Callithrix jacchus: one gene and its partners. The protein of the gene in region 1 purifies or fractionates together with the protein of each later gene. This does not show direct contact. Links are inferred from orthologs where the notes say so. Each region holds a gene or a part of one and is shown in the gene's direction. Other genes may lie near its edges. The genes, in order: ARHGEF12, GNA13, GIPC1, MYO6 and VAPA.

The links.
Region 2: the proteins of ARHGEF12 (region 1) and GNA13 purify together in Homo sapiens (affinity purification with western blotting; 3 studies listed by BioGRID). This does not show direct contact. The link is inferred for Callithrix jacchus from reciprocal best matches to the Homo sapiens genes ARHGEF12 and GNA13.
Region 3: the proteins of ARHGEF12 (region 1) and GIPC1 purify together in Homo sapiens (co-immunoprecipitation; 4 studies listed by BioGRID and IntAct, with this or other methods). This does not show direct contact. The link is inferred for Callithrix jacchus from reciprocal best matches to the Homo sapiens genes ARHGEF12 and GIPC1.
Region 4: the proteins of ARHGEF12 (region 1) and MYO6 purify together in Homo sapiens (affinity purification with mass spectrometry; 4 studies listed by BioGRID and IntAct, counting the BioPlex papers as one, with this or other methods). This does not show direct contact. The link is inferred for Callithrix jacchus from reciprocal best matches to the Homo sapiens genes ARHGEF12 and MYO6.
Region 5: the proteins of ARHGEF12 (region 1) and VAPA purify together in Homo sapiens (affinity purification with mass spectrometry; 5 studies listed by BioGRID and IntAct, counting the BioPlex papers as one, with this or other methods). This does not show direct contact. The link is inferred for Callithrix jacchus from reciprocal best matches to the Homo sapiens genes ARHGEF12 and VAPA.

What each region holds. Positions count from the first base shown.
Region 1 is NC_133511.1:20,126,973-20,130,592, forward strand, and holds part of ARHGEF12 (rho guanine nucleotide exchange factor 12), read left to right. Parts: intron 1-264; coding exon 265-498; intron 499-2,051; coding exon 2,052-2,522; intron 2,523-3,315; coding exon 3,316-3,620. UniProt on the Homo sapiens protein: May play a role in the regulation of RhoA GTPase by guanine nucleotide-binding alpha-12 (GNA12) and alpha-13 (GNA13). Acts as guanine nucleotide exchange factor (GEF) for RhoA GTPase and may act as GTPase-activating protein (GAP) for GNA12 and GNA13.
Region 2 is NC_133506.1:124,266,863-124,271,050, forward strand, and holds the start of GNA13 (guanine nucleotide-binding protein subunit alpha-13), read left to right. Parts: upstream 1-1,323; 5' UTR 1,324-1,475; coding exon 1,476-1,758; intron 1,759-2,059; exon of another isoform or gene 2,060-2,229; coding exon of another isoform or gene 2,230-2,284; intron 2,285-2,992; exon of another isoform or gene 2,993-3,207; coding exon of another isoform or gene 3,208-3,250; intron 3,251-4,188. UniProt on the Homo sapiens protein: Guanine nucleotide-binding proteins (G proteins) are involved as modulators or transducers in various transmembrane signaling systems.
Region 3 is NC_133523.1:13,277,120-13,281,269, reverse strand, and holds the start of GIPC1 (PDZ domain-containing protein GIPC1), read left to right. Parts: upstream 1-1,305; 5' UTR 1,306-1,438; intron 1,439-1,720; exon of another isoform or gene 1,721-1,880; intron 1,881-3,856; 5' UTR 3,857-3,911; intron 3,912-4,150. UniProt on the Homo sapiens protein: May be involved in G protein-linked signaling.
Region 4 is NC_133505.1:80,986,507-80,990,667, forward strand, and holds the start of MYO6 (unconventional myosin-VI), read left to right. Parts: upstream 1-1,304; 5' UTR 1,305-1,502; intron 1,503-4,161. UniProt on the Homo sapiens protein: Myosins are actin-based motor molecules with ATPase activity. Unconventional myosins serve in intracellular movements. Myosin 6 is a reverse-direction motor protein that moves towards the minus-end of actin filaments.
Region 5 is NC_133514.1:53,009,239-53,013,649, reverse strand, and holds the start of VAPA (vesicle-associated membrane protein-associated protein A), read left to right. Parts: upstream 1-1,540; 5' UTR 1,541-1,802; coding exon 1,803-1,881; intron 1,882-2,473; exon of another isoform or gene 2,474-2,745; intron 2,746-4,411. UniProt on the Homo sapiens protein: Endoplasmic reticulum (ER)-anchored protein that mediates the formation of contact sites between the ER and endosomes via interaction with FFAT motif-containing proteins such as STARD3 or WDR44.

The sequences.
Region 1 (3,620 bases):
TGAATGAATGAAATAAAATAAAATAAAATACAATACAGAGAAACCTTAATACTGTCTGGTTTATGCAGGTTCCAGCAGTTTAACAAACTTCACTTTCGAGCCTTCTGTGTTTTAGTATAACACTGCTCTAAGTGCTGTGTATTTTGCTTAACAGATGATCTCTGTAGTTTATGGGGATTTTTTCTGATTCTTGCCTGAATGCTTCATTTTAAAAGTTAAAAGTTTTGTTTAGATGTACTCTATGTTTTCTATTCCATTGGACAGACAGAGATTTGGGATTAGAATCTACCTTAATATCATCAAAACCTCAGCCTCATTCACTGAGCACCTCTGGAAAATCAGAGGTACGTGATCTCTTTGTGGCTGAGAGACAGTTTGCAAAGGAACAACATACAGATGGGACACTAAAGGAAGTTGGAGAAGATTATCAAATCACAATCCCAGATTCACACCTGCCTATTTCAGAAGAACGGTGGGCATTGGATGCACTAAGAAACTGTAAGTTTTTATTCATAACTTATTACAGATACTTATTAAGTATCGCACTCATTTGCCATCCCTACAATATGTGGATTTATCAAACTCCACTTAGTCTTCTAGTTTTATTGTGGAGATTATAGTATTCTCTGCAATGGCCCATGCCACAGACACAAATGCACATGCCACTCTATTAGCTTCCGCCCCTCAGCTGTTTTGAGAATCACTGTTAGAATGGGAGGACAGCATATGTCTCAGTTGTATTGAGGTGGAAAAAAGGCTGCTAACAATTGCTCTGGCTGTAGAGAACCATTTGAAATTTTTAAACCAGGGTATGCCTCAAGGTATGAAGAAAGATTAATCTGGCTAAGAGCTGTGGAAGGATTTGAATAGAAAGAGTTCTGGAATGGTGTACTTACTAAATAAACTATTAGAGTAGGCTGGCCTGAGACTAAAAGAGTTTGGACTAGAATGGTATCAAAAGGAATAAGAAGAAAGTGAGAAGTCAGCAAATGCTTAAAACAACTGACTTGTTTGGATGTGAGGACAAAGGAAAGGGACTATTTAGAGACAATTTCATTAATCTTGTCAGAAATAAGAGTCAAAAAAGGACTACCGCTGCTTCCCCTACCTCCTTCCATTGTACTTTCTTTTTTCTTTTTTTATAACTTAGTAGAATTATAGGCTCACGTTTAAAGAATGTCAAGATTAAGCTAATGACTGACAAAACAGTAAAGAGTGGGTGACTAGTAGGAAGTTAGTTTTAGGAGTGAAACTTTAGGGAGAGGTTAGGAAGAGAGATTTGAGCATCAGAGCCAGGGGAATTCCTAGCATCTCTCGGAAGTGATTGTAGAGCAGCAGGACAGAGGATCAGGGACCTAAACGGAGCTTGTTTACCTAAAGAAACATAAGACACATTAAGCTAGTGATGAAAGCAAAGAATTAGTTATTTAAAACCTACATTATTCTCTCTTACATTTCCCTGAATTAACAGTCTTAATGATTTCTGATGGTTTGACTAACATTGTCCCAGTAACTCTATCATTGTCTGGGTGACGTCATAGCATACACTTTGCCCATTCAAAATTAAATTGGTTCTTATTTTCAATAAATGTTGTATGTATCTTGAGAAATCAGAGGAAATAATATGCATATAGGGTCTGCATCTGGAAAGGGCAGAACTTTTAGTTTTTTCTCTCTAGCTTAACACAGCCTTTCAGCATTCTTAAGAAGTACCTTTAGGGTATTTTTCTAGTTATGTAGAAGAAAAAAATAGAGGCATGATATTGGTTATTCAGGAGTTCTAAATAGGAGTACCTCCCCCCATTTAGAATGCTTAGATCTTTTCAAGTTTAGTTTAATGTTAAATCTTCTCTAAAAGATGGTGCTCTATTTCATTTTCAAAACAAAATGAAAAATGATTTTACAAAATAAAATGATTGTATGAAATTAATAATTAACATTTTAATGAGTCATTAAAGATACTTTTAAAGATAATTGCTAATTTAATTCTTGCAGCCCGAGGTTATAGTTGTGAATATGCTTTTTCCCCCCTTCCTTCCTATATCATTTAGTGGGTTTGTTGAAGCAGTTGCTGGTACAACAGCTGGGTTTGGCTGAGAAGAGCACTCAGGAAGACTGGCAACATTTCCCAAGATACAGGACGGCCTCTCAGGGGGCACAGACAGACAGTGTCATCCAGAACTCTGAAAATATTAAGGCCTGTCATTCTAGTGAAGGACATATGCCCTTTAGAACTGGAACTGGTGACATTGCAACTTGTTACAGTCCACGGACTTCAACTGAATCTTCTGCTCCACGGGATTCAGTGGTATTGCCACCCCAAGATAGCCAGGCAAGTAACATTTTAGTAATGGACCACATGATTATGACCCCAGAGATGCCTACCACAGAGCCAGAAGGGGGTCTTGATGACAGTGGAGAGCACTTTTTTGATGCCCGTGAAGCACATAGTGATGAGAATCCATCAGAACGTGATGGAGTGGTAAACAAGGAAGAGAAGGAGGTTAATTTACGCATCTCAGGCAAGTATCTTTCACACTTAAACTTTGATTTTGATCATTGTTAACTGTCCTGTATGTTGAAATGGCTGTTATGTTGGTATCAAGGCGTGTGTGTGTGTGTGTGTGTGTTCACACACCTGCAGTATTTATTTATTCCTTTATTTGATAAATACTGAATCCGCTCTGTACCAGACCTCATCCTAGGTGCTGGGAGTTATAGCAGTGAATACAATAAATAAGTAAACAAGTAATTAGACTTCGGAAGTGTTAGGAAGAAACCTAAGTCAGACTAAGGGACAGAGTAATGGAGGCAAACAGGGTGACCAGGGAATAGGACCTCTGACGAGATAGCATTTGAGCAGAGACCTGAATGAAATGAGGGAATAAAGCCAAGTGGGTGGGTACATGAGAGCATAGTGTTCCAACAGAGAACAGAATGGGGCAGAGGCTTTGTGTCAAGAGCAAGCTTGTTGTGGTGATTGAACACTGGGTGAGTGAGACAATGGCAAGAGATAGGGCAAGAGAGGTGTTTGGCAGGGAAAGTGGTGGCAAGATCATTTAGGCACTGTGGTTTCCAGCTTTAAACCTTTGAAATGCTAACTAAATGAAATCTGTCAGAAATTACCATGAAAGTTTGCCAAGTTTAGCTTTAACCTGAAGTGAGGAAATTCTGATGTACTTGAAACTAAACTCAGGAATTAAAGGCTTTTCCCTCTTTAATAACTTTTCAAGTTGAAGTTGTCAGCACACTATGCTATTTCTGTTTTCTAATGGCAGCACTGGTCTCATCAAACTCTTCTGTCTCTATCCGTAGGAAACTATTTGATCCTTGATGGCTATGACACAGTGCAGGAGAGTTCCACAGATGAGGAGGTTGCTTCCTCACTTACCCCGCAGCCCATGACAGGCATCTCTGCTGTGGACTCCCCCCACCAGCAGCAACATTCTCCTCAGAATGCTCACTCTGATGGGGTAGTTTCACCATTCACCCCCGAATTTCTGGTCCAGCAGCGCTGGGGAGCTATGGAGGATTCCTGTTTTGAGATCCAGAGTCCCTCCTCTTGTGCAGATTCACAGAGCCAGATCATGGAGTACATTCATAAGATAGAGGCTGACCTT
Region 2 (4,188 bases), on another chromosome or scaffold:
CCAACCCACAGCTGTCACTTGTGGCTTGTCTCCTGGCCTTTCAGGTGTCCTGGCCTGAATCCGCTGCTAAGACAGAAAAAAAGTCCCCTGACGGGTCACATCCTCTGTAATCTGGCAGGAAACCTAAAATTTGCATGCTCCCATTCCTCCTGGTGTTTGTGTATCTGCTTCCTTGTTGGGAATAGCCTGCATCACAGTGTCCGGTGTAGGGGATTTTCACCATGACCTCACCCTCCTGCTGCCACTCACTGATTCCAGCCTGGCCAAGCGTCCCCGAAGCCACATCACAGCCCAGGTGGAATGCACATGACTGAGCCATTAAGAGCCCCTAGTAGCACGTCTCCGGTGAACATCAACTCCAGTTCTTTCCCCTGGTAAGGGGGGCGGGGCTGGCAGGGTCTGAAAATGCCAGAAAGAACTGCAAGTGTGGGCGGATGATGTCTGGTTACTGTTCTGGGATTCGGAGAGTAGAAGGTCAAGGGAGTCACCTTATGAAAACACACCAGGCCAGGGAGCAGTGGCTCCGTCTGGAATCCCTACACTGTGGGAGGTGAGACTGGAGGATCACTTCAGCTCTGGAGTTCAAGACCACCCTGGGAAACATAGGGGGAGACCCCGTATCTAAAAATAAATACAAAAAATTAGCAGGGCATGATGGCACACTCTTGTAATCCCTGTGATCCCAGCTACTCGGGAGGCCGAACCTGGGAGGTGGAATGAGCCAAGATAGCGCCACTGCACTCCAGCCAGGGTGACAGAGAGACTTCACCTCAAAAAAAATAAAAAATAAATTAAAAAATGAAATAAAGAAAATGCACCGAAGGCATGCCAGGCTCACGCCGGCTGTTCTGTTCAAATAACTTTCGAGTCCGTGGCCTCGAAAAGGGTCCGGTGGGCGGTGGCAGTGGGCAGCAGGCGCACGCGGGAGAAAGGGCGGCTAAGTGGGAGCCCAAGGAGCCGCGTCCGGTACCTGGTCTCCGGCCTCCAAGCCCAGGGGAAGGAGCCGTTCTGCCCACAAGTGGGCGCAGACCACGAAAGGGAAACAGAAAGTTAGACTCCCCCGCCCCGCCCACGTGACCGCGGCTCCCCAGCCCTCTCAGCGCGCTCCCGGCGGCGGCAGCGAGTGCGGGCACCGGAGCGAGACAGCAAGCGCGTGACTCGCCGCCCAGGGCGGGAGGCGAGGGAGCTGCCGCGGCGTGCGAGCGCGCCCCGGGAAGCGGCGGGAGCGCGCACGCGCCGGGGCCACCGCCCCTCCCGGGCCGGGTCCGCCCTCCTTCCCTCCCTCCCCCGCTCTCCTGGCCCGCCCTGCCCGGCCCGCCCTGCGAGTCAGTTCGCTGGTTCCCTCCCTCCCTGGGCGCGCTCGGGCCGCCGCTGCGCTCCCCGCCCTCGAGCCGTGGTGCCAGAGCCGCCCGCCGCCCGAGGAGGAGGTGGAGGGAGCCGGAGGGGCCCGCCGAGGCGGCGGCGGCGGCGGCAAGATGGCGGACTTCCTGCCGTCGCGGTCGGTGCTGTCCGTGTGCTTCCCCGGCTGCCTGCTGACTAGCAGTGAGGCCGAGCAGCAACGCAAGTCCAAGGAGATCGACAAATGCCTGTCCCGGGAGAAGACCTACGTGAAGCGGCTGGTGAAGATCCTGCTGCTGGGCGCGGGCGAGAGCGGCAAGTCCACCTTCCTAAAGCAGATGCGGATCATCCACGGGCAGGACTTCGACCAGCGCGCGCGGGAGGAGTTCCGCCCCACCATCTACAGCAACGTGATCAAAGGTGCCGGGCCGGGAACGGGGGCCCCGGCTGTGGGGGCCGGGGGACTGGGGCGGCGGCGGGCGCGGGGCCGGGCACCGCCCTCGTCCGCTCCGTCGCTGGCGGAGGACCGGGCTTGGCGGGCGTGCTGGCGGGAAGGGGGCGCGCCCCGGGCACTGGCCCTGCCCGCCCGGGGTGCCCTCGTCCCCCAGGCGAGAGGATGCTCGGGGGCGCCCTGTTCTCCCCCTTGTCTCCTCGGTGGGCGTCACGGCCATTCCCTCACCCCCCACCGCGCCCCTGGTCTCGCCCCCTGCGAGAGGGAAGTGAGGCGAACTGGGTGTCTCGGGGTATGGGAGACCTCTCTCGTCCTCCCCGCTGCGGATGAGGCAGGAAGACCCTAGAGCAGCCTCAGCCCCTGCACCCCCATTCCCGGCTCGGGCGATGTGGGCCGAACCTCGCTATCCCGGCTGAGTGACCCGAGTCACATGGGGTCGCATGCGCTCCCAACTCCCTGCTTCCTTGACCGCCTCCAAGTTCTGGAACCGTCGCAGTAAGGGAACTTTTTGCCTTCTTGTCAAGGGCGTAGGGTGGCAGCCTCCTTTTGGGCAAGGGTATGAAACTTGAGAGTGTCAGGTTGACTGTACTGGAATCAGGAGAGAGTAGACCCATACGGTTAGTCTAAAAAAGTAGCATCTGCCCTTTTTCGCCCCACTGTCACTGTCAGGTAGGATGTTTGCATATAATCGCTGTGCAGCACGCTCCACTCTCCTTTTCGCCAAGTAGCTGAGGGCTGGCGGGAAGGGAGTGCCACTACTTCTATTTAGATGAAATGTTGTAGTTGTAAGAAGACTGGCTTAAAAGTCATGTGGATCCTGTACAGATGAAGACAATGAATGAGTGTTGAGTTAGATAATTGGCCCTGCTCTTTATTGACAGTAGTTTTAAAATTAAATTTTGTTTTTAAGTGGAAAAATAAACAAGTTGTTTATTTCTGGGCATTCAAAAGAATCGAAAAGATGGTTTTTATTTTGTCATTTGAAAGATACTCATTTTTCTGTGTGTCATGTATGTTCTATAGAAAAGGCATTTTGGCAGAATTCAGGTGCAGAGCCTGATACTTCACGTGCATCTGGATTTTATTTTATCTAGGGAGCAGTTCAGGAGCTTGCTACAGATTGCAGGTTTTTTTCATGTCACTCCCACTCCTCCCCTCCCAGCGTTTGGGTAAAGGAAAACTGCCTGAAGAGGCAGGCATTGTGGAGTAATGACTAGAGAATCTCTAGGCCAGCAGCTCACAGACCACAGCCTAGAAGACCTAGTACCTCTGCAGTTAAACTATAAAGAACAGTTGTATTTACCCTGCTGTAATGTTTAGCACAAAACTAATTAAGGTCTCTTTCAAGGCTGCAGACTCTGCCTTAGTCCTTAATCGAAGGTACCTTTGTATCCTGATGCAGCTGAACTTAAGGAATTATGTTAATGAATAGCATCAACTTGTTAACTGATTGTGAGCCAGGTAAACACCTCGTTCTTAATGTACACTGAGTTGTTAAGTGTGATCTACTTTGAGCATTGATTATGAGATGAAGTAAGTTATCAGGAATCTAGTGTTTTTTAGTTGACATGAAAATTGACAATAAAACAGCTTTTTCAGGCTGGGTGTGGTGGTTCACTCCTGCAGTCCCAGCACGGAGGCCAGAGTGGGAGGATGGCTTGAGCCCAGGAGTTCCAGACCAGCCTGGGCAACATAGCCAGACCTCATCCCTATTAAAAAACAAAAAACTAAAAAACACCAGTTTTTCAGTTATTCAAACAAATGACTTCCTACTAGCCAAGTGACTGTTCAGATGGATCAAAGGTAATAAAAACAATAGATCAGTGATAGAAAAAGCAAGCTTGAACTAACCTCTGTGAGCTGGAGTTCAATTTTATATTATTTTGCAGTTGATCTTGCTTTTAGGGAAATTGAAGGCTGTCCTGTGAGTTAAACTGAACTGAAGCATGGGCTGGTAGAAGTTTTTAAATTTTGAATGTTCCTAGAAGACTCAACGTTGGGTTAGGGTGCCGAAGGAGATAACAGAACACAGAGCTAGAATACTTGGTTCTTAGTGTTTCATAAGTGAACATCTTTTAAGTTCATGAAATCTTGGTTGTATCTATTTTCTTCCATGCTTGGACAGCGGTCTATGCAGCATAAGTTCTTTTCCTTCTTGAGTTTGGTTCTTTTTTGACTGCCTTCTACCCCAGAAGTTATTTTATAAATTGGAACATGTTGAAAGTCCTTCAGAAAGAGCAATTGTGCTAATAGTATTTGTTTTCCAAGGCTCTACTTTTAAGACAGTGAGTGGCTGTTATTTTTTTAAGCTCTGAGAAGTTTTTGATGTTGGTCTCCATTTTGGGAGAAGGTATGTCTGGATTGATTCAGAAGTCTAAGGAAATAATACTGGAATAAAA
Region 3 (4,150 bases), on another chromosome or scaffold:
TGAGCAGGGTCTCAGCGCTTAGAGGCTTCCAAGAACTACAGTTCCCAGAACACGCAGCATTCAGTTGCTGTCCAAGTGGCTGGGTTTGAACTAGAACAAGGAAATCTCGCCTGTCCTGGGAACTGAGCGTCCTGGCCTGTTCCAGGTGCGTTTGTGACTCATGTTTCTTGGATCTGTGCCCTCCTGAGAAATCCCCGTTCCTTATAAACTACCTGGTGCATTTGTCCACACAGGTTTGCTGAGAACCTGTTATGTGGCAGCTTGAGATGGGAGTGAGGGGTTGACGAGAGAGACTCAGTCAGCCTCCATCCTCACAGTCAGATGGAGACAGATCCATCAAAGGTCGGAGGCTGGCTGGGTACCCTCTGTGATCTAGCACGTAGTAAGTGACCAACAAATCAACAAGCAAATAAAAACTATCTCACTCTTGTCTTTCATTCCATCTTGCCTTTCCACACTGATTTACCAGCTCCCACGATGTTGCACTATCCTAAAGCGTGCTGTAGCTCTCTGGCTTTTGCACACTCTGTTATCTCTACTGGAAGCATATTCGGCTTACTGGCTCACGCGTTTGTCTGTAGGACAGAGCCTGGCACGGAGCAGAGGGCACATTAAATATTTGATGAGTGAGTGAATGAATGAATGAATGAATGCCTTTCTCCATTGTACACTCCAGGAAGCAGGGACGCTCGGGACCCTCCGTATTTATCTCTGCCCCCCGCCCGCCCCTAGAGTATGAATGCACTTTTTATCAGCTCCGAGGATGGCCAGGCTGGGGCAGAGGCCGGGCGGGGAACTGGGTTAGGAGCTGCCATCGACCCCCCACCCAGGCCTCCTAAACGGTCCACTTTCCCGGACGTCGGGAGTTCGCATCCTGTCCCCGAAACTTGGCCTCGGTCACCTGACTCCCCCGCCCCTCACCACCCAGGGCACCCTAGACGGACATTCAGCCAACAGCACGTGGTTCAGGGGCCCCAGCTTCCTTCCCATTGGCCGCTCGCCTCCTTCCTTCCCCGCGATTGGCCGGGACCCAGCCGCAGCTCCGCCCCCCCTCCTCAGCCCTCTGGTGGTACAGCCCGCCGCGGCTCAGGCGGGGCGGAAAGGTCCACTGCTTTGCGGCGCAGGGGGAGCCGGGAAGAGCCGGGTGAGGCGGAGGGATCCCTCTGGAATGTTTCCGTCGGGTCCACCCGAAGCGGGAGGCGCGGATTGGCCGCGAGCTCCGGAAGACAGCCGCTAATTGGTCTTCCGCGGGCGTCGGCCCCGCCCCCCTAGGCGCCACTGCGGGAGAGGCCCAGGCAGGAGTTTGCGGAGGGCCGAGCCGGGTGCGCGCGGGGAGGCGGTGGCGGCGGCGCAGGTGAGTGGCCCCGGCGGGAGGGATGTGTCCACTCTGGGGGCCCCGGATGTCGCGGGCCCGCGAGGATCCGGCGGATCGTGCAAGGTGGGGCGGGCCCCGGGGACGCGACTGGAGGTCTAGGCTGAGCGCGGGGATGCCGGAGGCCCCTTCCTGGGGGGAGCGAGGGTGGGGGTGGTGGGGGCAGCTCCCTTCCTGCTGGAGGGCAGAGGGCAAACGCCTCCCAGCACCAGGTAGGGGTCTCCGGGCTTGCCCCTCCCCCCTCCCCCTTCTAGACGGCCCCCATCCCGGGGGGGACAGGCGTGGGGTCGATGTTTCTGACCCTTTCCTGTCCATTTTCCCTGAGCGAACCGCGTCTGAACCCTCCAGGGCCTGGGGCACGCAGTGAGGACCAGGGCCTGGATAATTATCATCATGAAAAACTCCACCCCAGCTAGCATTTATGGAGCGCTTCCGTGTCAGGCATTTACCATGCGGATCATTGAATCAAAACACTTCATGGGAGGTGTTGTGCCTTCTTGTAAAAAAGGTGAGGCAGCAGGCTCAGAGAGGTGGAGTGACTTGCTCAAGGTCACACAGCTAGTAACTGGCACATCTGGGGCTGGAACTCATGCCCCCAGGGTCCAGAACTGGAGTCTCAGCCACTAGACTTGATACCCACTGGCTCCATAGTTCAGTTGTTGCTGAGCAGCTCCAGCCCCTACCCCTCCCACCCCTACCTCATACTCATCATCAGGGCCACACTTGTTGGTCTTTTGTTTCCTTCCCCCCCACCCCCACAACCCCCAAAGATCACCAGATACCAGCCACTCAAACAGGAAGCTGCCCTCATGTCCCTTCTACCCTGAGCTGGAGAGGGCAGGTTTGACTACCTGGGTCCAGAGAAGAGTGACATCTGCAGGGGCCCAGGATGCTGGGGTCCTGGGCCTGCTGGGTCCCCCCTGGCAACCTGGGCCAAGGCTGAGCAGTAGGCGTTCTCCAGGGAAACACCCAGGAGCCGGTTTTTCAAGAGTGAATCAGAGGCCTCTCTCCCTCCTCTCCAAGGCAACACGGTGTGGGAAGGGGGAGCCTGGGCGTGATTTCCCCCTTCCCCTAGCTTCTGTGTGCTCCCAGGAACCCCTTTCCCTCCTCCTGCCGACCACACTGTGTTTCTGGATGGCTGTGGGGTTGCGAAGTTTCAGGCCCTTCCCAGGATGAGGGGGCCGGGATGCCGAAATTCCAGCCCAAACAGTTAATATCCAGGTCGAAGTTTCTCTTCTTCATCTCTGCGTTCAGGTGTGAGGGGAGCCAGGGAAAGTGGGGAGTTAGTAACCCCACAGTAGGCATGTTTGGGGGGCTGTTTTGAGGATGGAGGTTTGCAGAGAGCAGTCAGAATGAGGACCTGAGACACATTCATTCATTCTACAAATATTTCAAGTGAGCACCTACTATGGGCACGTGCTAGGCACTGTTCTTGGCACAGAAAATAACATAAATGAACAAAAATTCCTGCTCTTGAGGAGTTGGCACTCTGAAAGGAAGCAGCCAACAGCAAGTTATCAAGTAAATAAAGAAGATAATTTCAGATGACACTAAGTGCTATGAATAAATGTGTGGGTAGTACTATAGAGGGTTGTGGGCAGGGGGTGCCAGTGCCAGGAAGATCAGATAAGGGGGTTGGGCAAGGTGGCTCACACCTGTAATCCCAGCACTTTAGGAGGCCGAGGCAGGTGGATCACTTGAGGTCAGGAGTTTGAGACAAGCCTGGCCAATATGGGGAAGCCCTGCCTCTACTAAAAATTAGCCAGGCGTGGTGGTGCATGCCTGTAATCCCACCTATTTGGGACACTGAGGCAGGAGAATCACTTGAACCTGGAAAGTGGAGGTGTCGGTGAGAGGAGATCGTGGCACTGCACTCCAACGTGAGCAACAGAGCAAGACTCCATCTCAAAAAAAAAAACAAAACAAACAAACAAAAAAAAACAGGTCGGGCAAGGCCAAGGTCTTTCTTTAGGCTGGACCAAGCTTGGAATCTAGTTGGAGCAGATGAACCCAGAGCAGGGATTCTGCAGGGGTTTGTGGGTCACAGTAAGGAGTTTGCAATTTTTCTTCCAGAAGGTGGGAAACCGTTGTAAAGTTTCAGTCAGGGCAATGATGCCATCTCATTTATGTTTTAAAATAGAGACATGAAGTTAAATGACAGCCTGAGGCTGGAAGACAAGAGTTCTGCCAGGGCAGCATGCAATTAAGTTCCTGGGCCTGAGCTGTCTGTACCACAGGGGAGGTTCCAACATGCTGGGGCAAGCCTGGGAGGCTGCCTGGAGGAGTGAGCCTGGAGTAGGTCTTGGCAGGCAGAGAGGGCGGGGATATTCCTGGGCAGGGCAGGGCAGAGAAGGCGATACCAGTAATAATGACAACAGCTTCCTTACATGGAGTCTGAGGCAGAGTATAGATGGGATACGTGGGCAATCTCTTTGGATTTCCATAACCACCTTGAGAGTGACAGGAATTCTACCCATTTTTCAGATGAAGAAACTGAGGCCCTGTGAAGTGAAGTGACCTGCCCACAGCCACACAGCTGGTAAGTGGCAAGGGTGGGATTTGAACCCAGGCCATGAAGCCTCTTATGGCTGTGGCAGGCAGATTCATTAATCACTCACTTTCCTCCCTGCTGTTAATCCTCACTCACGGGTGGGGACACAGAAGCCAGCATGAACCAGGGCAGTGGGTGTGGACAGAGAGAGAGTAGGGAGGTTGGGAATCTTGGTCAGGATGTAGGGATCTTGGAAGTTTGGATCTTGGTACAGATGGCAGTAGTAA
Region 4 (4,161 bases), on another chromosome or scaffold:
GCAACCTCCATTTCCCGGGTTCAAGCGATTCTCCTGCCTCGGCCTCCCAAGTAGCTGGGATTACAGGCATGGGCCACCATTCCCAGCTAATTTTTTGTATATATATATTTTTAATTAAAAATGGAGTTTCGCCATGCTAGCCAGGCTGGTCCCAAACTCCTGACCTCGTGATCCGGCCGCCTCAGCCTCCCAAAATGCTGGGATTACAGGCGTGAGCCACCATGCCCAGCCCCTATTTTATTCTTAATATTTTGTTTTAGTTGAAAGCTAAAACATCTTGCGAGACCTCAGTTTTTTTTTTTTTTTTTGTTTTGTTTTGTTTTGTTTCTCCAAGAAAACCGTGAAGCCTTTAAGTATCAGAAATTCTCTTCGGAATCTTCAGAATTCCAGAAGTTTCCAAGTCGCTACATATAAATGTTGCAGAAAAACGTGCAACTCTCATGTGTAAGTAGGCTATCTTTTTTCCCCGGATACATTTAGCATTATAGTCCATTATCACTTCGTTGCCTTAACAGAAGCTGTTTTCATCGTAAAGATGATGTGTTTTCACCATATAATTCAAATTTGCATAGGTACTTCATATTTTAAAAAGTGATTCACAGATATGTCACGTATAAAAACAGTAACATTTAAACGACTGAGAAGGTAGGGACTCTAAAAAGTAAATGCAGCGGCGAGGGTGGGAGTGGGGAGAAGCAAAGGGGTGCGAAATTCACATCTCAAGCCCTCCCTCCTCCAAAGGCCGACTGGAACTTAGTTGTGCAGGAACGTTCCTCCCTATGCAGGGCAGCCCAGCCCAAGCCGGCCAGATCCGGAGCCGAGGTAGCCGCCACACAGCCTCGCTGCAGCCCGGGCGCGGCCACCTGGTCCCTGGGTCCCCAGCGCGGAGCCCCGGACTCCTCGCCCCCTCTCCGAACAACTTTCTCCCTGCTTGAACTGATTCTTGCTGTTGGCAGCCTGCACAGTCCCGGCATCAGCCGGAGAGGACCTGCCTCACTGGGACTGGAAACAGCTACCGCGACGAAGGAGGCCGTTTCTCTGTGCGAGGAACCAGAACTCCCGGCTTGTCCAGGGCAGCCCCTCCCTGCGCAGCAGGGCGCCCACCCCGCCCCAGAGGCTCGGCGCCGCGGGCGGGGCGACCCCGGGGGTACGGCGCCCTCGCTCCCAGAACGCGCGCCCCCTCCCGGCGCGCTCCCGGGGGCCGGCCGCACCGCGGCCCCGGCGCCCCCGCCCCCTCGGGCGCTCCGTAGCCGTGACGTGCACGCCGCGGTGCCGGGGACTCGGCTGGGCGCCGGCCGGCGGGCGGAGACCGACTCGGGATCTGTCCGAGCAGGAAGCCAGCCGCAGCCGGGCCGCTGTCGCCGCCCCGTCCTGCAGCGCGTCCGCGTCGTCGGCCTCTTCGCTCGCCCTCATCTCTCGCCCTCATCACTTCCCACCGCGCCCTTCAGCCTGAGCTGCACGAGTACCTCTGCCGCCGCGCACCTGCCTTCACGCCGGCACCGGTGAGTGTCCCGGAGCCCCCGCTGCGGGGCGTAGGCTCCGGGGTCTCGCTGTTCCCGGCCCGGCCTTGCTCTTGGGCCTCCTCGGGCAGCTCCCGGGCCGACGCGTCGGTTCACCGCCGGACGACGCGGGTGGGAGAAGCAGGTGATGGGTCGGCCCCGGGCGGCGGCGGCGCGCGGTGGGGCCGGGGGTGGTTCTTGTTTCCACAGAAAGACGTTTAGCCTCCTTTCACGGGTTATCAATCACCAAGGTCCCTTTGTGTTTCTTCCCTGGCTCCCAGGTAGAAGCAGAGCACTCAGGTGTCCAACTCGGACTTGGACACTTTGTGATAGTTTTATTTTCTCTTTTGTAAACACGCTTAAAATACAGTGCAGGGAGAGCGCAGTTTGTTCTGAGATGTGAAGATCAAATGATACCATTAATAGTCTAATCATGTAGAAGACCAGATTGAGACTTTGTAAAGCTTTATTCTTTGTCTCTCAGTACCTTGAGTATGTTAATTTACAGGTATGCTACTGAACAAGAACTTTCTTCTGTTAATTTCCAAAAACTCCCTAAAACGATTAAAATGCTCAAACTCTGGTATTTTAATTTTAAATAGGACATAATTTGATGGGGTATCCCTAGAACATCTGAGTTTAGAAGTATTTCCATACAGTTTCAAAAAATTCATTACATCTTATCTAGCATAAAGTGATACCGTGGAAAGATGCTTAACTCCTAATTTATGAGTATTAGTGAGAAAACGAGAAGAACTGCCCTAACTTAATAGACTAACTGTACGGGCTAAGTAAGTCTCATTTTTTTTTTTTTTTTTTTTTTTAATGCTCTGGTGGTATAGATGCAGTCTATCTAGTCAGAATTTGAGAGTTTTAAAATTAAGGTTCCTTTTTTGAGACGGAGTCTCACTCTGTCGGCTCACTGCAACCTCCACCTCCCAGGTTCAAGTGATTCTACTGCGTCAGCGGCTGGGCTTACAGGCGTGCACTACCGCCCAGCTAGTTTTTGTATTTTTAGTAGAGATGGGGTTTTGCCATGTTGGCCAGGCTGGTCTCGAACTCCTGACCTCAGGTGATCCACCCACCTCAATCTCCCAGTGTGCTGGGATTAGGCATGAGCTACCGCACCTGCCCTAGAAATTAACATTCTTAAGATTTAGCTGAAACTTATCTTCACAACATAAAACATGAATCTTGAACTTGGACTTGTAGTGGTCATGGTACAAAGGTTGGCGGCAAAGCAGCATTTCCTGTACAAATTAACTGAGCTTCCTAGATGTCTCAGGTTGTGGTTTTCCAACTGGAGAATGTTTAGTGAAAAAATTACCTCTGATCGGAGTCACGGCACGTAAAAAAAAAAACAAAAAACTTAACTGTGTCTTTTGCCTTTAATTGTAGAAACCGCCACAAATGTTACCAAGTGGACTATAACTAGAGCTTGAAACCATGCAGCCTTTCACAATAGCTCGCTGACTTTTATATATCCAGCTCGTTTTGAGTATTTTTACGTTAGGCAGGAATTACATCCACATCGGTAAACAAGTCATTGTAGTCGTATGTACATTTGCCCATTACTTTTGCATTTTTTGTGTGTGACATGCTGTTTATCATTCTCCATCTTTGTAAGTTACATTATTGTTTTCAGAAACTATTGTAAATGGCAGTAACAGAAGTATGAATGACATTTAAGGAAATATGTTAAAAACTGTATAATATATAAAACTATATATGATATACATATATATTCTTGGTTAGTGCCCAGAAACATGAGCAAGAAAAATGTAATGAACAATTATAATATTTAATGTAAATTAATGCAATTAAATATTGTATTAAAAACAAAAGATTGTAAATCATAACCAGTAGAGCTTATCTGAAATGGATTTTTTTCCTATTTATGTTTACGTGATCAAGTTTTAAAATAACAGTGACCAGGAAATCCGAGAGGCTGAAGGCTCTTTTCTCATCCTGTTGTGACTTTGCCTGGAGTCTGTGGTGTATCATGTAGCCCATTGTTTAGACAATTGGGCTGTATCTGGCTTCCAAAATGTAGCTTTCTTTAGAAAGTTTTTTAGAAAGTTTCAAAGATTTTGACCATGTGAGGTTTGAATAGATATATACATCCAAACATTTTTTAAAAATTAACCCATTTTAACTTTGTTGACAGTTGAGGCTCCGTTTTTGACATGTAAAATGTCAGTTTTAAGAAGAATTTAACTTCTGTACAGTTTTCATTTTTATATATTAAAATATCTAAAAATAAAATATTGAAAAGTGTTATAACTTAAATAAATCTCATAGAGTTTATTTATTCATTTTTTTTTTTTTCCCTGAGATGGAGTCTTGCCCTGTCACCCAGGCTGTGTAGTGTCATGATCTCCGGTCATTGAAACCTCCACCTCCTGGGTTCAAGGGATTCTCCTTCGTCGGCCTCCCAGGTAGCTGAGATTACTGGTGGCCGCCACCACGCCTGGCTAATTTTTATATTATTAGTAGAAATGGGGTTTCACCATGTTGGCCAGGCTGTTCTCGAACTCCTGAGCTCAAGTGATCTGTCCGCCTTGGCCTCCCAAAGTGCTGGGATTGCAATCGGAGTTTAATTATGATACCCATAATGAGATATTTCATAATGATTTATGAACTGGCCCTTTACTAGTATAAG
Region 5 (4,411 bases), on another chromosome or scaffold:
TTAGGGTTGTCAATTCACAACTAAACTTATGTGGGACACTATTATTTGGACTGATTGTCAACTTTAGTTTTTTTTTCCTTAAAACAAAATCAACTTTAACTCATATACAATTTTTTTTGGTATTCTGCCTTAATGATAATCGACATTTCAGAATAAATTTTGCAAATAGAAAGAAATCACAGGAAAGGTAAATTTAGAATATGCTTCAAACTTCTTAAGCACTCTATCCTCCCAGGAACTTCAAGGCTGAAGATGCATTCCTCCTGGGTGGCACCATCTTCTGTGAATGCCAGGTTAGTGATTCCAGTAGGCTGTTCCTGGGTGGACTCTGATACCTGGATTGCACATGAAAACTTGGTGCCTGCGTCTTGACTGCTGTTTTGTCTCATTTATTTTCTAGACAAACTGTGCTGCTTTACGGCAGTAGCATCAATCAATATGTCTTTTATTTTGTGGCGCTTCCTAGATATTTAAATTCAGACAGTATCATACAATACAATAAAGGTTTATTTACAGCACATTCGCTTCATTTGACGTTCCTGTACCGGATTACCTTGGCAATCGGCTAAAGATTTGTCAGCAACTTTGCTGCTGGGATTTTTCTCATTTGGTTCAGTTTACTACAGCCTATCATAAGTGATGCAGATGGATTTCTTTTGTAACATGTGAACGTGACAACTGTGTTGGTTTGGGTCCATCATTAATCAAAACTGAAGATTCGTAGGCTCGATGGTGTAGATTTTGACTTTTGTTTCTAGCTTTTGTGTGCTTTGTCATATTTCCCCTGCGACTCGTTTGCTTCCTAGACGGGGTGTGCTTCCTTATCTGATTTTGCATCACTGGAGAGAACTCAGGAAGCAGGAGAGGCTGGATGGGATCATTACAGGGAATGCAGTCTTGCCAACAGAGGGATGGATAGAATTACAGAGCAAACGGACACATCCCCGCCTGTTCTCCACAGGGCAGATTTTATCAGTATATTTCTAACATTGGGAACTCGTTTCCGCCTTCAAAAGTTTTTTCCTTTTTAGCGCAAACTAGACGTGCTCTGAGCCAAAATTAGCGTCCGCGAACCCCACCCCATTCGCCTCAAAAGGACCTCGCTCACCTTCCCGCCCACAAACAGCCACTACTACACTTCCCAGCAAGCACCGCGAAGTACCAGGCCCTCGGCGAAGGCCCCGCCCCACAAGGGGCATGCTGGGAGTTGTAGTGAGTGGGCGCTTCCCCACTACTCCTCCCTAGGCATTCCCACTTGGAAGACCGTGATGCGCTGCCAGAGCAGGTTCTCTAGTTTCGTACTCGTAGCTCAACGTGACAGAGGACTGCGCCTCAAGCCTGCGGCTGCGCATCGCGTCGGTCCCGCGGGCCTTTGCCCCGCCTCTTTCCACACCCGTTCCCTTGACAGCTGGGCTGCGCTTGGAGCCGCGGCGAGCCCTCAGCGCGCAGGCGCAGTAGCCCGGCGCCGCGTTAGGTAGGCCTGGAGGGCGGGACGAGCGCGAGGGGCTCTCGGTCGCCGGGGCGCGCACGTAGGCAACGCAGAGACCATCACGTGGGGCGCCGAAGATCGCAGTGCGCGTGGCCGTGGCGGCTGGTGTGGGGTTGAGTCAGTTGTGAGATCCGGAGCTGCTGACCCAGCGGGTGGCCCACCGTACCCGCGACACAGCGGCAGGCGTCAGGGCTCGGAAGCGGCGAGCCTGGCTCCGTCCTAGAGGTTGGCCGAGCGGGCACCACCGTCGTTCCCCGCCCCCAGCCAGCAAACCGTCGCCGCGGGCGCGCCCCCGCTCTGCGCTGTCTCTCCGATGGCGTCCGCCTCCGGGGCCATGGCGAAGCATGAGCAGATCTTGGTCCTCGACCCGCCCACAGACCTCAAATTCAAAGGTAGGCAGGATGGGGACACCCCCGGGCGGGATGGGGCACGCGGACGGCTGTCGGCGGCGGGGGGCGCGGAGAGCACGTCGGCGGCCGCGGCCCGAGGGAGCGCCCCCTCCCCCACGCCCGGGCGCCTGCCCTTTCCCGGCTGCTGCCTCGCCGCGGCCTCTGCCTGCCTGCCCGGCTCTCAGGCTGGCTTCTTTCCCTTTCGCCCGCCCGCGCTGCAGTGCGCGCGCCGGCCCAGGCGAGGCGGAGGGGAGCCGGGCCCTGGCGCCGCCGCCGCCATCTTGCGGTCCCGCGGGGGCGCCACCCGGGTGTTCGGTCCCGCCCGCGCCGCCGTCGGCCGGGGCCCAAGTCCTTGGCTCCTGAGGCCGACGGCGTGCTTCAGCGGGGCGTGGGTGGGTGGGCACCCGCGGGCGTGCGGTAGGGGCTGCGGCGGGGAGTGGGCTCTGGAGGTGGCGCAAGCTGCGTCCGTCTCCGGTTCCCGCTGTCAGTGGCGCGGGACCCCTCGGGAGTGAGAGCCGTCTCCCGACTCTGGCCCCGGCCCGGGGAGAGTTGGGTGCAGCCGGACTAGGGCTCCGCGGAGGGCGTCTCTCCTCACCTTTCCTCCCTGTTTAGAACTCGGCTGTCAGGTGTAGGGCGCGCTGGGGAGGCGGAGGAGCCCGGGAGGTGCCTGGCGAGGGCTGCCCGGTGCTCTTGGCACGGCCCCAAGCGCGTGCGGGCAGGAGCGATGCGTCAGCCGCGAAAGCAGAGTTGTAGGTTCATAGTAGCGGGGCTTCCTGCCTTCTACGACATTTCAGTGTGCCACCCGCGTGCTTGCTCTTATTTAGCCCTTCAGTTGAGCTCCTCTGCTGAGAAGCCTTCAGTACGTGTGACTTTTGCCTTTACGTTTGCGGTTTCCTACAGACCCTGAGAAGGCTAAGGTCAGCCAGCTCTGGAACTTTGTAGGTTTATTTTGTAGCACTGCCGGTGATAAGTTTTCAGTCTGACTTGGTGATACTGGAACAATCCCAGGGGCTGTTTGATCCGTTTGCTTGTCAATATAAGGTGTACTTTAGGAAAGAGAGTTAGAAACTGGACAGGTTTTTGTTTTTTTCTTGTACTTAAGGAATACTGAAAGAGTGTGAACATCTAATAGAAAGGTTCCTTCCTATCTTTAGTTAAGTGTAAAGTGAGTCCCCTTTTGGAAGTCAGTGTCTTGTAGTTCAGTTTGTTGAATGAGAACAATTTTTGTGAGGTGTATAGCAATTCTAGTGCTAAAAGAAACAGTGAAATCCTTTATTGTTGTGTAACGAGAAATCCCAACTACATTGTTTTCCACAGGAAAAACTTTAGTTTTAGGAATTTAAAATATATTCTGAAATTACGAGATTAATATTGGATAACTGCATTGCAAGTTTTTTAGTGCATTTACAAATTTCTTTTCTTTCTTTCTTTTTTTTTTTTTTTAAATAAAGACGGGGTTTCACCATGTTGGTTAGGCTGGTCTTGAACTCCCGACCTCAGGTGATCCGCCCGCCTTGGCCTCCAAAGTGCTTGGATTACAGGCGTGAGCCACCACGCCCGGCCTATTGAATAGAAAAGTGAGTGAGCTACTTGTTGGGTAAGGATTTGGTTTTAAGACAAGGTGCAGTGAATGTATTTTATTGCAAGTTAATGTATGTTGTGTGATTTTACATAGTTTTAGCTGGGGGAAAACCTTTGAGGAATCGTGAAATGTCCTAACTCAGCCATAATCTTGAGATAATTGAATGTAAACCTCTATGATGTGTGTGTGTGTGTGTGTGTGTGTGTGTATTTCGTTTTTATCTTTTGACTGGCTGTGTTTACAGTGAACGTTTCCTCTACTGGATAACTGTGTAAATTGCCGTTAGGTGCTTACAAGCCTTGACAACCAGTTTTAGGCCATGAAATGTCCACAGAGTTTGAAGGTTTCTCCTTGGGGAAGTTGTTACGTTGCTTTAGTAAGAGACTAGTAATAGTGGAGAAGCAGGTTTAAAAAAAAACAACCAAAAACCCTACACAGTGACTTACTCATATATTTCCTTCTTTGGGGGTATTGGAGAATTATAGCTATGATTATGGAACACATTGTTCTTGTGTTGCCAGTACAAATGATAAGACTAGTAAGGGAAAAAGAGAAAATGTACAAATGGTGTAAGAGAGACACAATCCTGTCTGAGGAAAGAAGCCCTTTCTCTACGTGCCCCATCCATCCCTCCCTTAGGAAGCCTTTAACGAAAAGGCTTGTTTTTCATTTCAGGGAAGGTTTAAGCCCAGAGAGTGGTTGAGTAAACAAACTGTTGTGAGAAAATGCCTGGTACTTAAATGCCCAATAGTTCATTGTGTGTTTCACTTTAAAGATACAGATAATGGGGAGGATTGGGAGGTGACATTTGGTGTTTGATTCCTTTTTAATATTGTTTTAGTCAAAGGCAAATTGTTTGCTTTGATGGAAACCTTCGTATATGCACAGCTCAACACTGAGGAGACTGATTTAGAATCTATAGTCTACTTGTGCTTTATGATTAAAAAAATA